2 linked regions of the Rhinolophus ferrumequinum genome follow. The protein of the gene in region 2 purifies or fractionates together with the protein of the main gene of each other region. This does not show direct contact. Links are inferred from orthologs where the notes say so. Each region holds a gene or a part of one and is shown on either strand. Other genes may lie near its edges.

Evidence for each region. The genes of interacting proteins can lie anywhere in the genome.
Region 1: the proteins of PIDD1 (region 2) and CASP2 purify together in Homo sapiens (affinity purification with western blotting; 5 studies listed by BioGRID and IntAct, with this or other methods). This does not show direct contact. The link is inferred for Rhinolophus ferrumequinum from reciprocal best matches to the Homo sapiens genes PIDD1 and CASP2.

What each region holds. Positions count from the first base shown.
Region 1 is NC_046309.1:7,697,824-7,708,120, reverse strand, and holds the start of CASP2 (caspase-2), read left to right. Parts: upstream 1-6,211; 5' UTR 6,212-6,311; coding exon 6,312-6,385; intron 6,386-9,413; coding exon 9,414-9,564; intron 9,565-9,864; coding exon 9,865-10,032; intron 10,033-10,181; coding exon 10,182-10,263; intron 10,264-10,297. Other genes in the region: TMEM139 (transmembrane protein 139), read left to right, coding at 3,797-4,122, 4,333-4,747. UniProt on the Homo sapiens protein: Is a regulator of the cascade of caspases responsible for apoptosis execution. Might function by either activating some proteins required for cell death or inactivating proteins necessary for cell survival.
Region 2 is NC_046294.1:481,308-491,258, forward strand, and holds the start of PIDD1 (p53-induced death domain-containing protein 1), read right to left. Parts: upstream 4,179-9,951; 5' UTR 3,327-4,178; intron 2,740-3,326; 5' UTR 2,664-2,739; coding exon 2,360-2,663; intron 1,931-2,359; coding exon 1,517-1,930; intron 1,198-1,516; coding exon 988-1,197; intron 905-987; coding exon 850-904; intron 700-849; coding exon 498-699; intron 421-497; coding exon 295-420; intron 198-294; coding exon 18-197; intron 1-17. Other genes in the region: RPLP2 (60S acidic ribosomal protein P2), read left to right, coding at 7,333-7,455, 8,015-8,063, 8,819-8,917, 9,016-9,092. UniProt on the Homo sapiens protein: Component of the DNA damage/stress response pathway that functions downstream of p53/TP53 and can either promote cell survival or apoptosis.

The DNA.
Region 1 (10,297 bases), on a different chromosome or scaffold from region 2:
GAAGTCACCTGTATGAGGGCCTCCTGAGCCCTTCAGTTGAAGGTGTTATCTTTTAGAATCAGTCTGAATGAGCCCACAAAGGATCAGCACCCTGATACAGGGCTTGGGATCTTAATATCCCAATGTTTCCTTATAGATCAATAACCTTATTTTATCTTCTGATCTTCTGTTTTGCCGCCTTTGCTGTCTGAGGATCAGCCTTTTCTTAAGATGCCAAACAATGGGAAAATACTTTCTAACCACTTCTCCCGAGACGACCAGAGTAATGATCGTAGAGTATCAGAGGTGTTTTGTGAAATGATAATTATGAGGGCAGCCAAAAAGAGAGTTCCGAGTGTGATGACAGAGCAGTTAAGAGCCAGGGTTCTGGACGGGGACTTTGGGTTCAAATGTTGACCCCACCCTTGATTACTTATACATTTTCCTCAAGCCGCTGACCTTACCCTTCCCAGGGACATAGTAACAGTAACTACCTCTCATCACATTCTACATATTTTAAGTTACTTAATGTGTGTATTTAGCACAAATACACACAAAACAGTGCACACGTGTTGGCTGTGAGCATAAAGCAGACCGAGATTCAGAAACACAAAATCACAGAAACGTAAGAACGGAGAGCATGCAGCGGTAGGCATCTGATAGCCCTCACCAGAAGCCTGTCAACTATGTCCGCTTCTCCCTTCTCCCTGCCCTCCCCGTCCCCTTCCCCATCACCCTCACAAATGATGTGGGCACAGGCAGCCAGCTAAGAGGGGTGACCCAACCTCTAGCAAGGTCGTTTGTGGAAGGCAGGTGAGTAGAAAAGGGAATGGCAATAGAATTAAGTGGGGCATTCAAATGTCGCTAAGGATACTAAGGTGATGAAGGAAAAAGGAAAGTGAAAGCTTGGGGAAACCATTTGGCCACGTGCATTCAGGACAATTAAAACTTTCACATTGTTTCTCTCAATAATGACATTTCTTAGAATTCAACTGGAGGAAATAATCAAAAAAGGGAAAATTACATGACACAAGATGTAGACCAAAAGGGGTCCTAAGGAAAGTAACCTCAGGTGACCTGATCACCAATTCCCAACTGAGAGGGTCCGGTGGGGAGTCAGGCCCCAGGCCTATCACCTGTTTAGTGAGAGGTTTGAAGCCGGCCGTGTCCGTTGTTCTTGGGCATCTAGGATCACACACCTTTGAGATGCCAGAAGTCATAACCGCGAAGGCCTGACCACCCTCAAGAGAGCACCTGACAGTAAGTATCCTGTCATCTAATCCCCGCCTTGCCTTCTCCCACCTCCATGTAATCTTCCTTACATTCCCTCCTTAATTTCAAATGCATAAAAGAAACTGCAAAACCGTCATTCTCTGGAGCATTTGAGATCTTGCTTCCTGGCACCTGTTGTCAGTTTGGGCTCAAATAAAGTCTTATACACGTTCTCTACAGGTTTGAACGTTCTTACATCGACACTTATTATGCGGACCAACTGGCTTTTGCCCAATTTCATTCTATTACTATATTAAGTATAGACTGAAATTCTTCTGATCCCACCTACATTTTCCAGTATGCAAGGAAACTGCTGGAAACAAAATAACAACGTCTCCTCCCTCTCTCCATTCCCACTTCCTCATTTATACAACCATAGCCTTCCCTCTTCTCTATCCACCTGGGACAGAGACTCATGATGACTTGTCCCACTATACACCCACACACCCCTCCTTTCCCCTGTCCTCCTCTTCCTTCTGTCTCTTTCTCTCTCTCTCTCTCACACACACACCCACACACACACACACACACACACACACTCACACACTCATGCTCACACATCGTCTGCTGCCGCAATCCCGGCTATGCGGCACGCCTGTCCCTGGGATTAGATTTGTGCCCCGTTATCTTCCGCTCCCCTCCGTTTGTCCACTGGTGACTCTGAAGGCACTCAGCACAGCCTTGTCTGTCCTTCTCTGAGTTGCAAGGACAAAGTGTGCCTCCAGCCACTCTGCACCTCCCAGCACTCGCCTCACCCAGAATTTACTGCCCGATCCGCAACTGAAAAGAGTGGGTCCTGGCTCTCCTGTGTGTGGTGAGGCCAGGCGAAATGGTAGCCTTCTAATCAAAGCATTTAGCTATGCTTAGTGAGCACCTACTATGTGTCTGTCAGGACTTGAGTTAGTTGCAGGGATTCAGAGATGATTGAAACTAATCACTCACCATGAGAAGCTCACGGGGGGGAAAAGGTGCATACACCGAAAATTACTATACGTACAGGTAAAGCGACAGAGGTAGGTGGTTATACTGTGGAGACAGCCTCCACAGCAGGCTTTGCCTCCAAGGTGGTTTCCGAAGAATCGAGAGTTCACCTGGCCAAGCAGCATACACACAAACTCGTCTTTCAGGTCTGCAGAAAACAAGGAGTTCATGGAAAACGCACCAAGGCAACAGAAGCAGCACGCACTATTCATTCCAGGCCCAAAGCAGTTTACAGTATGCAAAGCACTGTGTGACTTACAGACATTAAACAAACCAAAGTCTCCGCCCCTAGGCACAAAACAGATTCCCTGAACGTAAAGGCGAACTCTCAGCACACACCGGATTGAGAATAAGGAAAGGGGAATTGAACTCTGGCCCGAAGTACAAAGATCGCTGGGGGTGGGAAGGAGGCGCCTCTCATTAAGGCACTGCGGGGGGTGGATGGAGGGAAGAAAAAGCCAGGTGCGGCGGTAGGTCAGCCGCACCGAGAAACGGGAAGAATGAGCCGGGGCAGGAACTGAGGGATTGGGGCAGAAAAGAGGGTGGGGCCAGTGGGCTCCACCTCCTCCCCTCCTCGGACTCCCCCCACAACCCACTTTCTGCGGAGTCTGGTCCAGACAGTTGTGGGAGGAACTCCTAAGGCCGGTGAGAGGGGCGGGAGGGTCCTGGGATTGGGGCTGGGGTGGAGGGAGGGCTGGCCCCTCTGCAGAGTCTGTGAGTCCTTGCTATTCAGAGTTCAGGGAACTCCTGACAGGCTGGTATTGGAATACAGCTGCCTTGGTGCTGCTGCTGTGTTGCAAAGGAAAGAAAAGGCTTCTCCCTACCAACCTCCCAGCCCCTACGCAACTCCAGGGAACCGCGGTAACTCCAGGCAGGAAACTAGAAATCTGTCTTTACTGCGTTAGGGCCAGAAGAGGATGGGAGACCCTGGCAGAGGTGGGGGGTGTAAAGAGATCAGGAGTTATCTGGGCCACTGTCACCGCCCTAGGCCTTTGTCTGTAAGGTTCTCTCTCACTTAGTTGTGTCCCTGTGGCTGTGGTGGGCCTCTGCGCATTTTCTCCCTCCAACTGGAGCATGGGTTGACAGGAGGAAATAGGAAGGTGGGGTCAGACAGGGTGAGTGGTGCTTCCTCCCTCCCTACTCACCCCAACAGGGTCATACTGAGGGTCTCTGACTGGGAAGCTAGGGGGTGGAGTCCAGCAAGAGCAGTAACAGAGAAAGGGCAGGGCCTGCCCCATCACCTGGATTCCAGGGGTGCCAGTGAACCCCAAAGCCCCAGAGCCCACCCAGGACTGGATCCTGGATGGTGTGTGTTGAAAGGCAGAGCTGGAAGGGAGACCACAGGGAAGAAGGAGAAAGGAAGGCAGGACTGTGACCCAGTCAACTGGCATGAGGGCTGGGAGTCAGAACTCCTGGGCTGGTTTCCTGGCTAGTCCACATATACGAATACTCGGGGACAACAGTGGGATCCTAAAAAGAATTACTGGCCTGGAGAGGACCCTGCTGCTCATTTATCTGATTTGAAACCCAATCATCTGACTTAAAATCCAGAAAGGTGTCTAATATGGTTACTTTGGAATCTGACCCAGCCATGCTGCCAATTGCTAGTTTAGACACAACAGCTGTGTATCTTTTTGCAGGAGCCTGGGGAAGGGCCATGGTGCTCAGCCAGTGGTGGGGAAGACTGGAGAAGCTGTTTCTCTACCTGTGCTGCACCTCCTTCCTCCTGGGGCTGGCTCTGCTGGGCATACAGCCAGACATTGCCCCTGTCGCTTATTTCTTTCTGACCTTGGGTGGCTTCTTCACGTGTGCCTGCCTCCTGGCCTGTTTTCTGAAAAAGGTGTTCCAATCAGTGCAGACGGAGAACCCAGGGGCCTCCGGCAATGCACGGTGAGTTAAGATGTGGGCAGGCTTGCAGGACTTCACGGGGGATCCATGCTCCCCGTGTCCTTCTAGTCTCTTAGGCTCTGCTTTCCTCTGTCACCGGTATCAGCGAGAGGAGGGGTCACGGGCTTGTGGAGGGGTCCTTTGTGGTAGATAGAAAGCGGAAAAAGGACTCCTTTCAGGAAGCCACCAATGACCTTATTTCTCCTCCCTCAGGGACAACGAAGCCTTTGAGGTGCCCACCTATGAAGAGGCCGTGGTGTTAGAATCCCAGTGCCCCCCGCAAGAGTTGGATCAACCACCCCCCTACAGCAGTGTTGAAATCCCCCCAGGACTTGTAGACAGGCAGCCTAGCCATCCAGAGGGACCCAGGACAGACAGACTGGAGAGGCGAGTGGGCTCAGAGGGCTCCATGACCCGGGGAAGCCCTGGAGGAGCTCTCGTCAGCCTGCGGCTTCGGGGACCGCGAGTAGTGTCCACTGCTCCGGATCTGCAGAGCTTGGGGACACTCCCCAAATTGGAGTCGATCCCCAAACTGGAGCCTCTTACTCCACCCCCCGCCTATGATGTCAGCTTTGGTCACCCTGATGATGACAATGTTTTCCATGATGACAACTGGACACCCCCCTAACAGAGTGTCCCAGGATATATCATCTCTCTGCACCAGACCCACTCCTTCATTTGACCAACATTTCCCAATGCCTGCCTGCTCGGTGTCAGGAACCGGACATAACAAATGGGCAATTCAATCCAGAGAGGAGTCAGGCTTATGGTAAGTCCGTCGTAGTTGACAACATTCAGGCAACATTCCGAAACCTACCCCACATCCGATATTTCCGGAGTTAAACTGAGGGTGAGATGAGGTCGTCATGCACCGAATCTGGGGAATGAAGAAGAGAAACAACATTTAAGTGACAGCTCTGTTGCTTCTGTTCCAGGTGCTTTGCCTCTCTATTAGGTCACTTAGGCCTCTCAGCCATGTGAGGTATTATTACCTGCAACTGAAAAATGAGGAGTCCCAGGGTCAGAAAAGTGATTCCTTGCACAGGGGCACAGTACTCGTAAATAGCATAAAAACGATTTGAGCTCTGGCTTTTCTGATCCCAAAGCCCACTGTGTTCTCAGTACAAGGTAGAGGAAGCCAGGCCATCCGCACGTGTCGGTCTCCGTTCTGGACAACTGCTAGTGAGAGGCGGAGACGGAATGGGGGACCCGCTGCGTCTGCAGACAGGGCAGGCTGAGCGTGAAGCGCAAGCTCAGCCTCCTAGAGGAGCAAAGCTAATCAACGCTGTGACGGACCCTGCCCCTGTGGGAACAGTTCCTGCCCATCCAATGGGGGAAGCAGTGGAGCAAAGCTGCCCCAAGGTTAGACCTCCCAGTGTGAGAACGGGCGGAGAGGAGGGTCAGCAGGGATACAACGTGAGCTTCCAGGCAGGCTGGCGGAGTACCTAAGGCGATACTCGTGACTCTCCAATGTGAAGCGCTGGCGCCACTCGCACAGCCTGTCATCGCTTCAGCCTCACCCCTGCACTCTGACCGCTACCAGCTTTCCCCAGCGCGGCCCGCCCCCGTCCCTCCCCCGTCCCTCAACTCCCAACAGAACACCGGATTGGAATCAGGTGCTGCGGTGGTGGTGTAGGTTTCAGCCACCGGGAGCTGCTCAACCACCGCGGACCCACCCCACCCCTCCGGGCTGCGCGCCCCACGCAGGCTCTCAGTCACCGCGCGCGTGTCCGCCGAGCGCCTTCTCGCGCTCTCCGCCTCCTCCTAACCCTTGCCCCAACCGTTCAATAAAATGAAAAGCCCGGCCACACCCGTTTCCGTAACGCCCTTGCAATAGGCCGGGAAGGCGGCGTGGGAGGGGCCGGGAAGCGGGCCGTGATTTCCGCGGGAACCGACCACCAATCGCATTCCCCGCCTAGGACTGGGCGGATCCCCCCGCTGTGCCCGCCTTTTCCTTTTCCGCCGACCGCGCTCTCACCCCATTGGCCCGCGCGTCCGCCGGAAAGCTCTGCGCGCGCGCGCGCCCGCGGGCGACAGTAGGGGCGGGGCAGCCTGGTGTAGGGGTGGTGCTAAGGGCGGTAGGGCGCAGGCGCGTTGTGCTTCGGCGGACGGGGCTGGGATGCCGAGGACGCGGCGGCTGTCGGTGTGTTTGGGTTGTGGGCGGTCCGCTCACAGCCCGGGAAAAGCGAGAAATGGCGACGCCGATCGCAAGCTCCCGGCCCGCCTTCCAGCAAAAGGATCTGATGACCGCTGACAGGGGACGCAGGTGAGTGGCGGAAGGTCCCAGGGGTCCATAGTGGGGCCCAGGGAGGGAGATCGGGGTTCCAAGCGTGTGGCCCTGGCGCCCCCTCCCCTTGAAGAGCCTGGAAGCTCGCGTTTCCTGCCGAGGCCCGGAGGCCGGGATGCGCCCCCAAGGGGCGCCCGGTCGGGCGGGCCTCTTCTCGGCCTTGTCCCTCCTGAGCAAAGGCTGCCCAGCTTCGATTCGTCCAACCCAGGGGGGCTCTTTCCAGTCCTGCCAAATCTCGGCTTCTCTTAAAATTCTCCATCTTTAAGTCTTTAAGAGAATCTTTCCCTTTCTTCCTTTAGGAGGAATTATACTCTAGCCTTAAAAACTGATGAGACCTGCAGACCTGGGAATTCTGCCTGATGTGCATTTGATTTGGATTGAATATATCATGACCGGTAGTGCTTGGGTATAATGACCAGATTTGCAAAGCAGTCAATACAGGCTTTGGGATTTGAGTACTTTGAAAGGACAGGGAGTTTCCCCAGGCACCTAGTGTGTCTCCTTCTCTGCCCCAGTTAAATCTTGTAATGGCAGACATCACCCAGGATGATATATTTAAATGCCTCCTGGTCCAGACCCAGAAGATTAATTTAAGACCTCAGAACTGGAACCTGCATAAGGACAGAGAATCAAGACTGAAGAACTCTCTTTGTGTCCTTTTTCCCCGCCCTTTTTCCCCTTCCAGATGTGCCCTAAAGTTCTAGATGATTGTGTTTACTTTGGAAAGTGCACCTTTGAGTCTCTCCACATAATGTGGAATACAGGAAAGAGCAAGTGTGTGGAGAAGCGATGATGGTTCAGACGAAACCTAAGGAGCTTTTTATTGAATATTCAAATCTGAAACGTGACAGTTAACTGGGAGTCAATTAGTGAATTGTGAGTAGGATAAGATAGACTAGGAACAGGTTCTTTGGGGGTAGGGGGAAGGTTCTCTGGAGGGAAGTGGAATGTAGTGGGCAGAGACCTAAAGAATGGTGTCAAGAGAACCAAGGGAGGAGAAAGTTTTGGGGTTTTTTTTTAGGTTTTTATTCATCAAAAGTTAGCAGCAGACAATATTAAAATAAGTATGGCAAAGCCTTTTACAAATGGCTTTGCACTCGAACTTGGTCCCAAGAAAATGACTGTTGCAACAAACTAAACTTGATAAAGTCTTTTGAAATAACAAGGGAAATACAGTTGAACTAAAAGAAAGCACTGGTTTCTCTTAAAACTAGGTTACAGTTGTTCTTACTACTATACATCAAACAATTGAAAACGAATTACAAAAGTGGAATGTTGTAAGTTTAAAATTAGTCCTTAGATTTTTGTTCTACAAAACATCTGTTCACATCAAAAGGACCGTTCAAAGGGTAACTTTTCGTCAAAGCGAGGGACAAGAAAACAATACACTTTTTTCAAATCAAAACAAGAAGTTTGGTCGTTTAGCTTTGTGCATAATTAAGGCAACTGGGGCGATCTGTTACAGCTTATCTACTGGAAGGAGAAAGTTCTAATGAGAAAAAAATACTCTGGTAAACCAGGGGAAGAAACCGAGCAGGTAAACCTGCTCTGCCTTTGGTATGTATGCTAAGGAAATAGCATCCAGCTGCATGCGATGTTATCTCGTGGTTGGCCTAGTATCACTTCTTTTTACCGGAGTTCACATGTCATCATTATTACTGCTTTGGTCTGTTCTAAGGTGATTTTAAATGGGGTTTTTGATTTCTCTAGATTGTGATGTTGTAGCAGGTTTTCCTGAAGTTTTGGGGTAACAAGAATTAAAATGGACCAGCACTGTTCCAAACCGAAACTTAACCTAAGTTAGCTGCTTCCAATCCTGGGAATGTTTTCCTGATCACTTCCTCTGCTTTAGGATCCCACATGCTGTCTTTTTGGGTCTCTCTCAGCTCTTCCGAGACTCTGCTTTTCTCTCCTCTAACCTAGAGTTAAGCTAAGTACATCCTTAGATGCATGGTGTTTCACTGATTCTAAGATGCACATTTTAGCATCTTTGAAATCAGAATGCATCTTTTGGATAGGTTTTTAAATTATAAACTGAAGCTATTACCATATTCCTTTCTCACTACCATCAGGCCCTTACAGTTGTCATATATTTGGACACTGGCTAAGCAGGCTGGCGAGCTCTGGATTTATATAAACTAGGCACATAGATGATATACATTGGAAATGGGATTCTTTTGGTTCATAAACAGAAATTGATCTCTTTCCAAAGCAATAGCAAAACTAAGGAATCCTTGAAATTAAGACATCCCTAGTAAACTAAATTACCAAAATAATTTATCCTGTATGTGCATTACTTCTAACTGATCTCAAGGGATGGTGATTGTGTTTGTCATTGGTATTTGTCTACTGTGATTTTCTGTCATACTTTCTACTTACCCCGTTCTTACAGGATTCATTATCATTTCTACTGTCATTTTGTCCTATGGCTTTTAAAGTCTTAAAACTTTAAAAGCCATAGTTACAATTGTTATAAGTAGGCTAGACAGAGTATGTGTCTGTGTGTCTGTCTCATTTATTTTCTATTAAAGCTGGCCATTGGTTTGAGTTTTTGCCAGTGTGTCAAATGATTTTATTCCTCACCCAGGATGATGTTAAACTTATATCACTTTCAGCAGCCTAGATAAATAATGTGAAATGTTTTCTGGAGTAGCCTCCTAATTGAAATTCGTCTGTCAGAGGAATGTTTCTTCTCGTGAATACATGTGTGCTTGCTGTGTGTATGTTATCTTTGTCAAGACAGAGATTTCCCTCCTCTAGACAGACCATCTGTCTCAGGTGATGCTCTCAGTTGAACATACTCAGTAAAGAATTACATACATAATTTTCTTAGGGTCAGTGTGTTACTGCTTAATCCTTTGATTTTAACCAGATGCAATAAAATGTACGTGATCTTGGTTATTGTAAGTCCTGTTCTTTCTGTTCTTCCCGCCCACGCCTCTTCCACTCTACTCTTCTGTACCAAATCTTGCACTTCACAGTCTTTCTCTCTGCCTTTTATCTGTAGGATGTTGGGAGTTTGTGGCATGCATCCTGACCATCAGGAAGCTCTAAAAAAGAACCGAGTGGTGCTAGCCAAACAGCTGTTGCTGGGTGAACTCTTAGAACATCTGCTGGAGAAAGACATCATCACCTTGGAAATGAGGGAGCACATTCAGGTATCTCGAGGCAAAAGAGGAAAGCCAAGTAAATTGGCTGTAGAAGTAGGAGCAGAATATGATAAAGTGGGAAAAGGAGGCAGGGCCTTCCTCAGCCAATGGAAATACCCTCCTGCCCCAGAGCGGTTAGCAGAAAACAGATGTGGTTCAAGAATTACAGGAAGGGTGTCACCCGTGCATGTTTTGCCGATAAAGGGAATTCTTGAGATGGATGGTGCCATTTTTAGGAAGCTCATCTGGAGAAATACAATGATAGCTAGATAAGTAAGTATGATTTCATGTTTCGTTCTTGTATCATAGGCCAAAGTGGGCAGTTTCAGCCAGAATGTGGAGCTCCTCAACTTGCTGCCCAAGAGGGGTCCCCAGGCTTTTGATGCCTTCTGTGTGGCCCTGAGAGCGACCAAGCAGGGTCACCTGGAGGATCTGTTGCTCACAACCCTCTCGGGTCTTCAGCATGTACTCCCACCGGTATGGAGCCCAAGACGGGGGTGTGTTGAGAAGGGTTAGTTTGGTGGGAATGGCATTTTTGAGAAGGAGGGTGGGGAGACTAGATTTTTGTTGTATTTGGCCTGGACCATCTCCCTAAGTCCTGGCCTGGGGGTCCTGATTTCTTACAGTTGAGGTGTGACTACGACTTGAGTGTCCCTTTCCCGGTGTGTGAGTCCTGTCCCTCTCACAAGAAGCTCCGCCTGTCTGCAGGTGAGAATTGCTAGGCTAAAATAGGTCCCACAGA
Region 2 (9,951 bases):
AGCTGCCCTGCCCTTACTTGCATGCGGACGTGACGAGGCTCCTCTGTGGCTCCAGGGGGAAATGTGACCTTGACCCCAGGATGCCCCGAGGAGAACAGCAATGTCCCCTCTGGTGGCACCAGGCAAGCGTTGGACACAGGGCGTGAAACCACAAGGAACCATGAGAAGTGGGGTACCTGGCAGTGAGCCCAGAGCCGCTGGGCACGGCGGAAGGGTCAGAGGGAACAGGGTCAGAGGGTCCGGACACAGCTCCTGCCCAGGGCTCCTTCCTAGGCCACCCTGCACCTCCCTCACCTTCGGCGCCTCTTCCTCCAGGTGGGTCTCCAGGTCACTCCAGCTGTCGTCACTCAGAGTCCTCACCACCACCTCACGGCAACGCCGGGACCGTGGGGGCACGAAGAGCAGCCACAGGCCTACCTCCTGCCACACAAGGGTGCTGTGAGTGCCAGGGCCATGCCTGGCCCTCCTCACCTGCCCCCAACCTGCCCTGGCCGTGCCTGCTGGAAGGCCACCCCATGGGGCTGCAGTTCCAAGACACCACTGAGCAAGGAGTCATGGGGACCCAGGGGGACGAGGCGCGGCTCCGGCTGCCACTGTCGATAGCGGATGGTGACAGAGGTAGTAGTGGCACCAGCAGGAAACTGCAGGCGGACACCGCAGGCCAGGGTCACAGAGCAGCCTTGGGGGGTCACGGGGAAGCTGAGTGAGGACAGGATGGGCATCAGGTCAGACACACAGGGGCATGTATGTCTGAGCCTGGCACCCCTGGGGACTCAAGGAGAAGACCCCCGAGCACGTGGACAGGGTGGCTAGCTGTTCCTCCAGCCCCACCCCTCCCCCACCCCATACCTGTCCAAATCTGAGGTCAGGAACAGTCTGGGCATTTCTGGGACCATGGGTGTCCCTGTGGAAGGACAGAGAGATTGTTAGGATAGTGACGGTACCTGTGTCCTGTTGGTGATCTGCCCTCCCCAGCGACAAGCCTACCTGGGGGACTGTGGGAGTCTGGCAGGGCCTTGCCCAGAGGGTTCCCCTGCAGGCGCACAAAGGGGGCGTCCAGCAGCTCTGGGGGCACGTCCCGAAGCTGGTTGTCCCTCAGGTCCAGCCGGGTGAGCAGTGGGAGGCGGGCCAGGCCGGCGGGCACAGAGGCCAGAAGGTTGCTATGCAGAACAAGGAGGCGCAAGGAGCGCAGCCCCGCTGTGGGCCGGCGCTGGCTTAGGGCAAGCGGAGGGCCAGTCAGTGCCACCCAGGCCCAGAGCGCCAGGGTGCTAGGGCCTCCCTGGAAGCCCTTGTGGTTGTTGCCCCATGGCCAGACACAGAGTTCGGCTAGCCTGCACAGGGAGCCTCCGAGGCCAGGGCAGTGGGGGTGGGGGGCAAACAAGACCACTGGGAGGAGCAAAGGCTCAAAGGTGGGCCCCGTGGAGGACGAGGGCCCACATGAGAGCAGAGGCTGGACACTGGCTGAGGGACTCCCCAGCAGGCCCTGTGCGCCAAGGAGGGAGATACTGGTACTCACCAAGGGAATCCGGGAGGCTCTGCAGCCGGTTGGAGGCCAGACTGAGCTCAGCGAGGCTGCTCAGGCCTCCGATCTCGGGGGGCACACTGTCCAGGAGGTTCTCCGAGAGATCGAGGCGCTGCAGGGTGGACAGGGCCCCCAGTGCTGTGGGCAGCGCTTGCAGGCGGTTGTGGGTCACGGCAAGGAAGGTGAGGGTGGGAAGGGCCCCCAGGGCCTCAGGCAGCTCTGAGAGGTGGTTGTGAGAGAGTAGCAGGGCACCCAGGCCACGCATCCGCGGGACGCAGGCCGGCAGTGTCTCTAGGCTGTTGAAGCTCAGATCCAGGTGGGCCAAGCGTGCTAGGCCACTCAGTATGGCGGGCAGTGTGGTCAGGGAGCCCCGGAGGCAGGCACCCAAAGCATCCCGGCGTTGCCCACCTGGGAAGGGGAGGCAGATGTGGCCCAGTCCCAGTTCCTAGCTTGGCCCTGTCCCCAGAGAAAGAGCTGCGGAGGGAGGTACAAACCCGCAGTCCCACCCCACCCAGACAGAGACACATAGCTGCAGGGGATGGATCAAGGTGGCATCTGAGACCGCAGGCTCATCCCAGCTACAGCCATCACCCAGGACCCCCAGGAAAAACATGCACACTGGGTCTGCTGGGAGAACGCACTGGGCAGCTGCACATTGGGGGAGGAGGGCTGGATAACAACACATTGGGGGAGCATCACATTGGGGGAGGAGGGCTGGGCAGTGCTGTGTGGGAAACAGTGGTCGGGCTGGAACCGGGATTTGCCTTTGAGGACCGAGAGGCAGAAGCAGGAGCTAGAAATAGGGCTGGGACAGGGCTAGGACCACAAGGGGCTCACCTTTGAGGACCAGGGAGCGGAGGTGTGGCAGGCTCCACGGCACCCGGGCCAGGGTGGCTTCCAGCAGCTGAGGGTCCTCGTGGCCACTCAGCTGCAGGAACTCCACCTCCAGCAACTGAGGGGTCTGCTGGGCACACAGGTGCAGCAGCCGCTGGCAGCCCCCAGGGTACAGGTCCAGGCTCAGCCGGTTCCCAGCCAGGAGAGGAGGTGCCGCGGGCCACGCATCCACAGTGTCTGCAGCATCTTTTGCAGCATCTTCTGCAGCAGCCAACTGGGGTTCCAGCCCCTCCTCCACTGCAGCCATCGCCCCCCAGCCGTCCTCGGGGGCCAGACATGTCCCAGCTTGCCAGGCAGGCCTGCTCAGGCAGGGCCCAGGGAGGCTGCAGTCAGGGTGAGGAGTGGGCAGGAGTGAGGCTGGACCCTCCTCCCAGGAAGGGACTCTGGTTAGGGGGAGATCTCTGGGCCCCGCTAGCTGGTCCACAGATCTCAGAGCCGAGGCTGGACAGACCATTGGATCACTGCTGAAATGGGGCTGGAGGATGGGACCCCAGGGCTGGGAGGGCAGCAGGCAGGGCGAGCCCTGTGTGCAGGGGAGCCTGGGGGATCTGCTGGGGACAGGGAGGCTTCAAATTTCACTAATTCTGGAAATTTGGACAAAGGTCCCATAGAGCTGTCGGGTCATCCTGCCGTTCTCTCCCTCTCAGCCCCCACTCCCGGGATAAGAGTCCTGAGTGCAGCCCCACCTCCAACCTTCACACTCAGCAGCTTTGATAGGAGGTCCGGACTCTCATCTACCACAAGGGGGAGGTGGCCCAGGCAATGGGTGATTGTGACCAGTTATGTCAAAGAAGTGAATGTGAGGGAGGGGACCTGAGGTCTGAGTCACCGGGCGGCTTCCGGGTCCTACGGATTGGACCCCGCTTCCAGACCCCTGGAGGAGGGCTCTCCCGCTGCTTCCAGTTCATACCTCGGTTGGCAGGGGAGGGCGCTGCACAGCGCATCCGGGGCTCCCGCGGCCTGGGGGCCGGCCCGACCACGAGAGCGCGCCGTCCCCCCCACCTCGCCGTCCCCACGGCCCCCGCGGACGGAGCGTACCTGCGCTCCAGCCGGCGCGGTCCCAGGTGCCGGGTCCGTGCGCGCTGCGCGCCTGGGTTCCCGCTGGCGCGTTTCCGGGCGGGCTGGGACTCGGTCGCCACCCCCTCCGGTCCCCGCCCCGTCAGAAAGCGCCCGTTGCTCCCGCCTGGGGTCAGCGGGCCAAGGCCTCAGGGTCTCTCCCGACTCCGCCTGCCCTCTGCTGGCCTGCACCCTGGAGACGCGGACGCCAACCCCATCTGCCCCGCAGCCTGTTCAGCTGCCCGCCCCCTCCTGTTAGCCCGCCTCGGTCTGTGGTGGCCAGCCCACTCGACGGGGGAGACCCAGGTTCGCGCCACGAAACCCGCCTTTTCAGAGGTCTGGCGGATCGGGGTTCTGGAGGCTGATCGCAGCTGCTGCTGCTTCACGCCCAGCCCCTGCCAGAAGCCAGAGTTCTGAAAGTGCGTCCTTCCGCTGCCAGGCCCAACATGCTCTCAGGCTCTGCAGAGACCCGACGCCAGCTCCAATGACCCTACTTCATGGGCAGTCACTCTGGGCCGGTGCTCCAGCAGTAGGCTTCCCCACCTGCTGCTTTCTTCAATGTTTGTCTGCATCTCACAAGGGGGTAAAAGGAGGCTGTTTTGCCCAACGCCACACAGCTGGTGAGAGCCAAAGCCTAGGACCTCAAACCTGGTCTGTCCGACTCTTCCCCACCTGTGCTTATTCACCCCACAGAGTAGGTGCTCTGTAAATGATGAACACATCCAGTTCTGCCTGTTCTGCCCCAAATTACATCGTGTGCACCTTCTTTCCTCCACCTCCCCAGCTCCCGCCTTCCCCCCATTGTTTCCTAATAGTTGCCAGAAGAATCTTTTTTTTCTTTTCAGGTGACAATGATTATGTGTATTGTACATAAATTAATAAAATAAAAGTGTCTCCAGTTTAATTGTCCCTTCCAATATGAATTATCAAACGTCAAATGAAACTAATAAACACATGCCTCTGGGATAACAAAACCATATACAGAGGGTGCCAAAAAAGTGTATACACATTTTAAGAAAGAAAAAAAAACTATTAAAATTGTAATACTCAATATATACCGATAATAAAAGATGAATACAAGTCACGTTTGACTTCTGCAATGACAAGAGGTGCTCAAAGTGGTTCCCATCAGCGTCCAGACACTTCTGATTATGGTGAACTGCTGCTTGAGCAACGTTGACCAAAGTGTCCCAAAGTGTCCACTCGTATCATTGTGCGTGCCGCTTCAATTTCTCCCCGGCGTACCGCCAGTGTAGTGGGTTTTCTACGGTACACCACATCCTTCAAAGTCCCCCACAGGCAGGAGCTAAGGGGTGTTAAGTCAGGAGAACATGGGGAAACTCAACCGCACTTTTTTGTCCTATCCATTGTTCTGGCAAATTCTCATCAAGGGGGGAACTCAACCGCACCTCACGTCTTCATGGTCTTGCGCTCCTCGAACCACAACCGTTCTGCCATTTTCTTTGACTGTCCTGCTTGTCGCATGGTGATGCTAGCATTCCTTTGAATGCCATCTTTTGAGCGAACGTCATACTACACATTACTACGGTAATTCAATTCAACTTCGAAAAGTAGTACATAAATAACATCTCTTAAAATGTATCTACTTTTTTTGGCACCCCCGGTAGAAATCTAAATTGCATTTTCATACAAAAAATTATTTTCTGCTGACATCGATAGCATATTTTCTCAGCTACTCAGAAGTATCTTTTAAAAACCCAATCACAGGAATGTTATTCAGCCTTAAAAAGGAATGAAATTCTGACACTTGCTACAACATGGATGAAACTTGGACATCGTGTTCAGTCAAATAAGCCAGACACAGAAGGACAAATCCTGTATGATTCTGCTTATATGAGGTCCTTTGAGGAGTTAAATTCAGAAACAGAAAATGATGGGCCCCAGGGGCTGGGAACCGGAGTTATTGTTCACTAGGTATGGAGTTCAGTTTGGGATGATGAAAAAGTCCTGGACATGGATGGTGGGGATGGTGGCACAACAGTGTGAATGCCCCTAATATCCCTGAGTTATTACAATGGTAAATTTATTTTATTTTTTATTTTTTTTAAGTTTATTGGGGTGACAATGTTAGTAAAGTTACATAGATTTCAGGTGTACAATTCTGTAGTACATTATTTATATATCACATTGTGTGTTCACCACCCAGAGTCAGTTCTCTTCCCATCACCACATATTAGACCCTGTTTACCGTCTTCTAGAGCCCCCCGTCCCCCTTAAGGTAAATTTTAAAGTACTGCATTTTTTTATGACTCAAATCTTATTTTTTAAATTTTATTATTATTTTTAAGGAGGGCGCAGCTCACAGTGGCCCCTGTGGGGATCGAACCCACTACCTTGGTATTATCAGCACGGCGCTCTAACCAACTGAGCTAACCGGTCACCCCAACAATGGTAAATTTTATATTGTTTTCCACTTAAAAACCCAAACCATCAATCACATCATGCCACTTCCCTATTGACTTCAATGAAGTGCCATCCTTACCAGGATGTTTCCCTCACTTGACCTCAGCTGTGTGGCCTTGAGCAATAAAAACCTTTCTGGGCCTGCCCTCCTCAGGACGCCTAGGGCGACTGTGTGGTTTGCGTTAACACACCTAACACACCAATGCTTGAGGCACTACACTCGGGGCTCGCTTTGTTGTTCACGGACTGGCTGCTTCCTCCGGACCCATTATCAGCCACCTCTGGCCTTTGCATCTGACCCCTCTGCCTGGTGCTCCTCCCAGATCTTCGCCAGGCCAGGTCCTTCTCATCTTACAGCTGTGTCACCGCCTTATCCCTTCAGGGTCCATGTCAGCCTGGGGCAGCCTCGTGTATTTATTTTGTTTGTCGCACTACAATGTAAGTTGCGAGGCGAGAAAGCAGGGCCGGGCCTACTCCATCTCAGGACGCAGGCCTGCGACAGGATCCCTAACACGGAGTGAATGAGTGGCCAGTGCTGATGACCACGTGCACAGGTTAGTTTTGAGCCGACATGGCCAGAACACCGCAGGGGATCAGCCACTAGGGCCCAGGCGGCTCGGTACGGCGGGGTTAGTGCGACGAGCGGCTCGCCAACCTCACTGGGTCCCACTGGGTATGAACACCACCAACACGGCCGACAGCCTCCCGAGAGCCGGAAGCTCAGGGGCCGAACCCGCGCATCCTCCGTGGGGCCCACGTGTGTCAGCACAACCGCGCTTCCGGCAGCGGTGCACTGTGGGACTAGTAGTTCGCCGGCTGCGTCGGCCGCTTCCGCAAAGGGATGCGTCCTGGGCGTGGCGGCTGAGCTGCATGTTGGGGCTGTAGGCCTTGCGCGGCACGCAGGGAGCCCTGAAGGGAGACACACTCTAGTTCGGGTTCGCGCCCCGCTTTATACCGCCGCCCCAGGGATTTAGGGTGACACTCGCCCTACACTACACAAGAAAGTAGCCCCGGCACTCCCTTCGCCTTTGCTGTGGCGGCTGCGTGACTGGACGGGACAACGGACTCCCCGGCGTCGTCATTGACCGAGCGCCTCGTGACGTCACTCGGAGGCGCCCTTCACAGGGCACGGCGTACGGGTCCCGGAGGCTTCTGGGTAGCCGATTACCCCCGCCCCCCGCGCCGGCGCCTTCCTTTCCCTTCCGGACGCTGCTGAGGTCGCACGCGTGAGGCTTCTCCGCCGTCGCCGAGTGAGTGGGGCAGCCGGGCTAGGCCGCGGGCCGAGCGCGGGCCCTAGGGGGCAGGCGGAGCACGGAGCAGGGCGCGGGGCGGGCCTCGTGGGGATCCCCGAGCCGGGCCCCGCGCGGCCACGCTCGGGCCGGGGTGGGAACGGGAGGCCTCCGGGTAACCCCATGGTCCTTTTTTCCGGCCTCAGGATGCGTTACGTTGCCTCCTACCTGCTGGCCGCCCTCGGGGGCAATACCTCCCCCAGCGCCAAGGACATCAAGAAAATCCTGGACAGCGTGGGCATCGAGGCGGACGACGACCGGCTCAACAAGGTAGGGGCCCCCTGGGCCCGGGCCGACGGATGCTCTGCACGTAGGGGCCGGCCCCCTCTTCTACCCATCCCGAGTTTTACCGTTGGGAGAGTGGTTTGAGGGAGGCCCGTGGCAGCCCATGTGGTTATTTATTGGGTTGCTTTTCGGGGGCTCTGATACAGCTACAAGGAGGGTGTGAGGCAAAGCGGCTCGGTAGAAACGTAATGTAAGTTTCACATAATTTAAAATTGTTGATGATGCGTTTTCTTTAAATGTGAAGGGGAAAGTGTCTTAAAGCCATTCTCTTTCACCTACCTTATTCAAAACGTTTTGACATGCAGTGGGCATAAGCTTAGGTATCATGCATCTTTTTTCCAGTGGTGAGTTCTAGAAATGTGGTGCCAGTTTCCATTTGTAGCGACTCTCAGTTGGGAAGACGTACGCGGGTAAGAGCTAGTGTGCTGAACAGCAGAGGGCCTAGGAGCTTCAGGACACATTTGCTCGCGTCGTGTCCCCGGGGCTGCACACGGTGAAGTTCAGGTCGGGTCTGGTAACTGCTGGTTGTGGTTTTCTATTTTAGGTCATTAGTGAGCTGAACGGAAAGAACATTGAAGACGTCATCGCCCAGGGTGAGGTTGTGCAGGGCGCTTTCCTTTGCATGGTCCATCCTAATCCCTGCCGGCCAGCCTGTGGCCTGTCAGGCTTCGCTTGTGGACCAGAGCACCCTAGAAGTCTCACCAGAGCAGTGAGCACAGCTTCAGTGGGCTCGTGCCATGGGAACTTCTAGACACTCTGGGTGCAGGTCGCTAGGGGGCGCCCTTGCTGTCCCTGGGCCTGGCTGCCCTGCGCAAAGTGTTTGGGGAATTGGGCCTTTGTAAACAAGTGTCACCATGTGCTCTCTGAGGGGGTTGGGCACAGAGATTGGGGTGTGTCAGGGATGACCACGGGCTCCGGCCCCCCTCTCCTGGGCAGATTGTTTTCTGGTGACATCAGGCTGGAGTTTATGGGACTTGTTTGGGAGTTGAGCTGTTGGAGCAGCCTTTCCTGTCCTTGGGCATGTGACAGGCTAGGGCCAAAGCCAGCTCGGCAGACAGCCTGAGCTCACTGCTGTGGACGAGTGTCTGGACACTGGGACAGCAGACTCGGTCCCTGCCTCGTTATAAACATGATTGTGCAAACTGACTCCAGGGTGGGCTGTTGTGCTGCTTGTGGACTGCTTCCTAGAAGCCAGGTTCCCAGAGAGGGAATTCTGGGAGGGGTGTGTGGCAGAACCTCCTGTCTGGGAGAACGGGAGCCTGTGACACTGGCACTTGGTGACAGGCCCAATACATCAGGCAGGCTGAGCAGCTGCTCCTGTCTCACCTCCCTTCTCTGGTTTCCGTAGGGATTGGCAAGCTGGCCAGTGTCCCTGCCGGCGGGGCTGTGGCCGTCTCCGCCGCCCCAGGAGCTGCAGCTCCTGCTGCTGGTTCTGCCCCAGCCGCGGGTAAGTGCAGGTCTGGCAGCACTCGCTGCACATGCCCTGGGGCCCCTGGGAGTCCGGCCTGCATGGGGCCTCACTCACCACAGCCTTTGTCCCTTCAGCAGAGGAGAAGAAAGACGAAAAGAAGGAGGAGTCGGAGGAATCGGATGACGACATGGGATTTGGCTTGTTTGATTAGAGTCCTGCGCGCCTGCAAATTAAACCCTTTTTACGTATCTCTTGAACCGCCTATGAGCCTTTTGTCAGAACCTGTCCTCTGTGCTGGGCAGGTGTGGGGCTCCCAGGGAGGAGCAGCTGCTGCCTGGAGAGCTGAGGTCGTGGTTGACAACACAGGGGACACTTCCTGTGGGTGGGTCTTGAGTGTTGCCAGGCCTTGAGCAGTCTCAGGAAGGGACAGGAGCCCCTTCTTGGGCATGGTCCTGGCCCCTAAGGACTGAGGGCTCTCCCAGGGAGTGAAGCCTTCAGGGGGATACCCAGGAAAGCTTCAGAAGCAGCAGTGGGTGGTCTCCAGGAGGTGGCTCCAGTAGTCCCAGTCCCCCGCTGCCAAGACTGGTAGCGTTCTTCAGTTACACAAGAGACGTGGTGGGTCGCGTCCAATTCTTGCTCGAGCCAGTGCCTCAGCTCTGCCTTAACCCCTGAGCAACTTGGGCATTCATCTCTGAGCCTCAGTTTCACTGGTTGTCTGATGGGCTATCACCTGCTTTGCGGGGCAGATGTTGGATCACATGGACACTAAGTCTTTTTGGGGTGGCTTGCCCACACCTCTCCCACCAGGCTCTGGCCTGGAATGTGGGGTAGAGGGCAGAGGCCCACCCACGCACCATCCTGGCCCACAGCTGTTTGTAGTGTCCTGGGCCTTCATCTTCCACCCACCAGTGCCAGGCCACTGAGGAGACACTGCTTCCCCCTCCAAAGGCTCTGGGTCAGCAACTAGCTGGGGTGTGCTGTGTGTGTCCTATGTAGGACCTGCCCCTGTGGGCTGGAGTTCTGTGGGCAAAGTGAAGGAGGAGAACACGGGGCGGGGTGGGGGGGAAGAG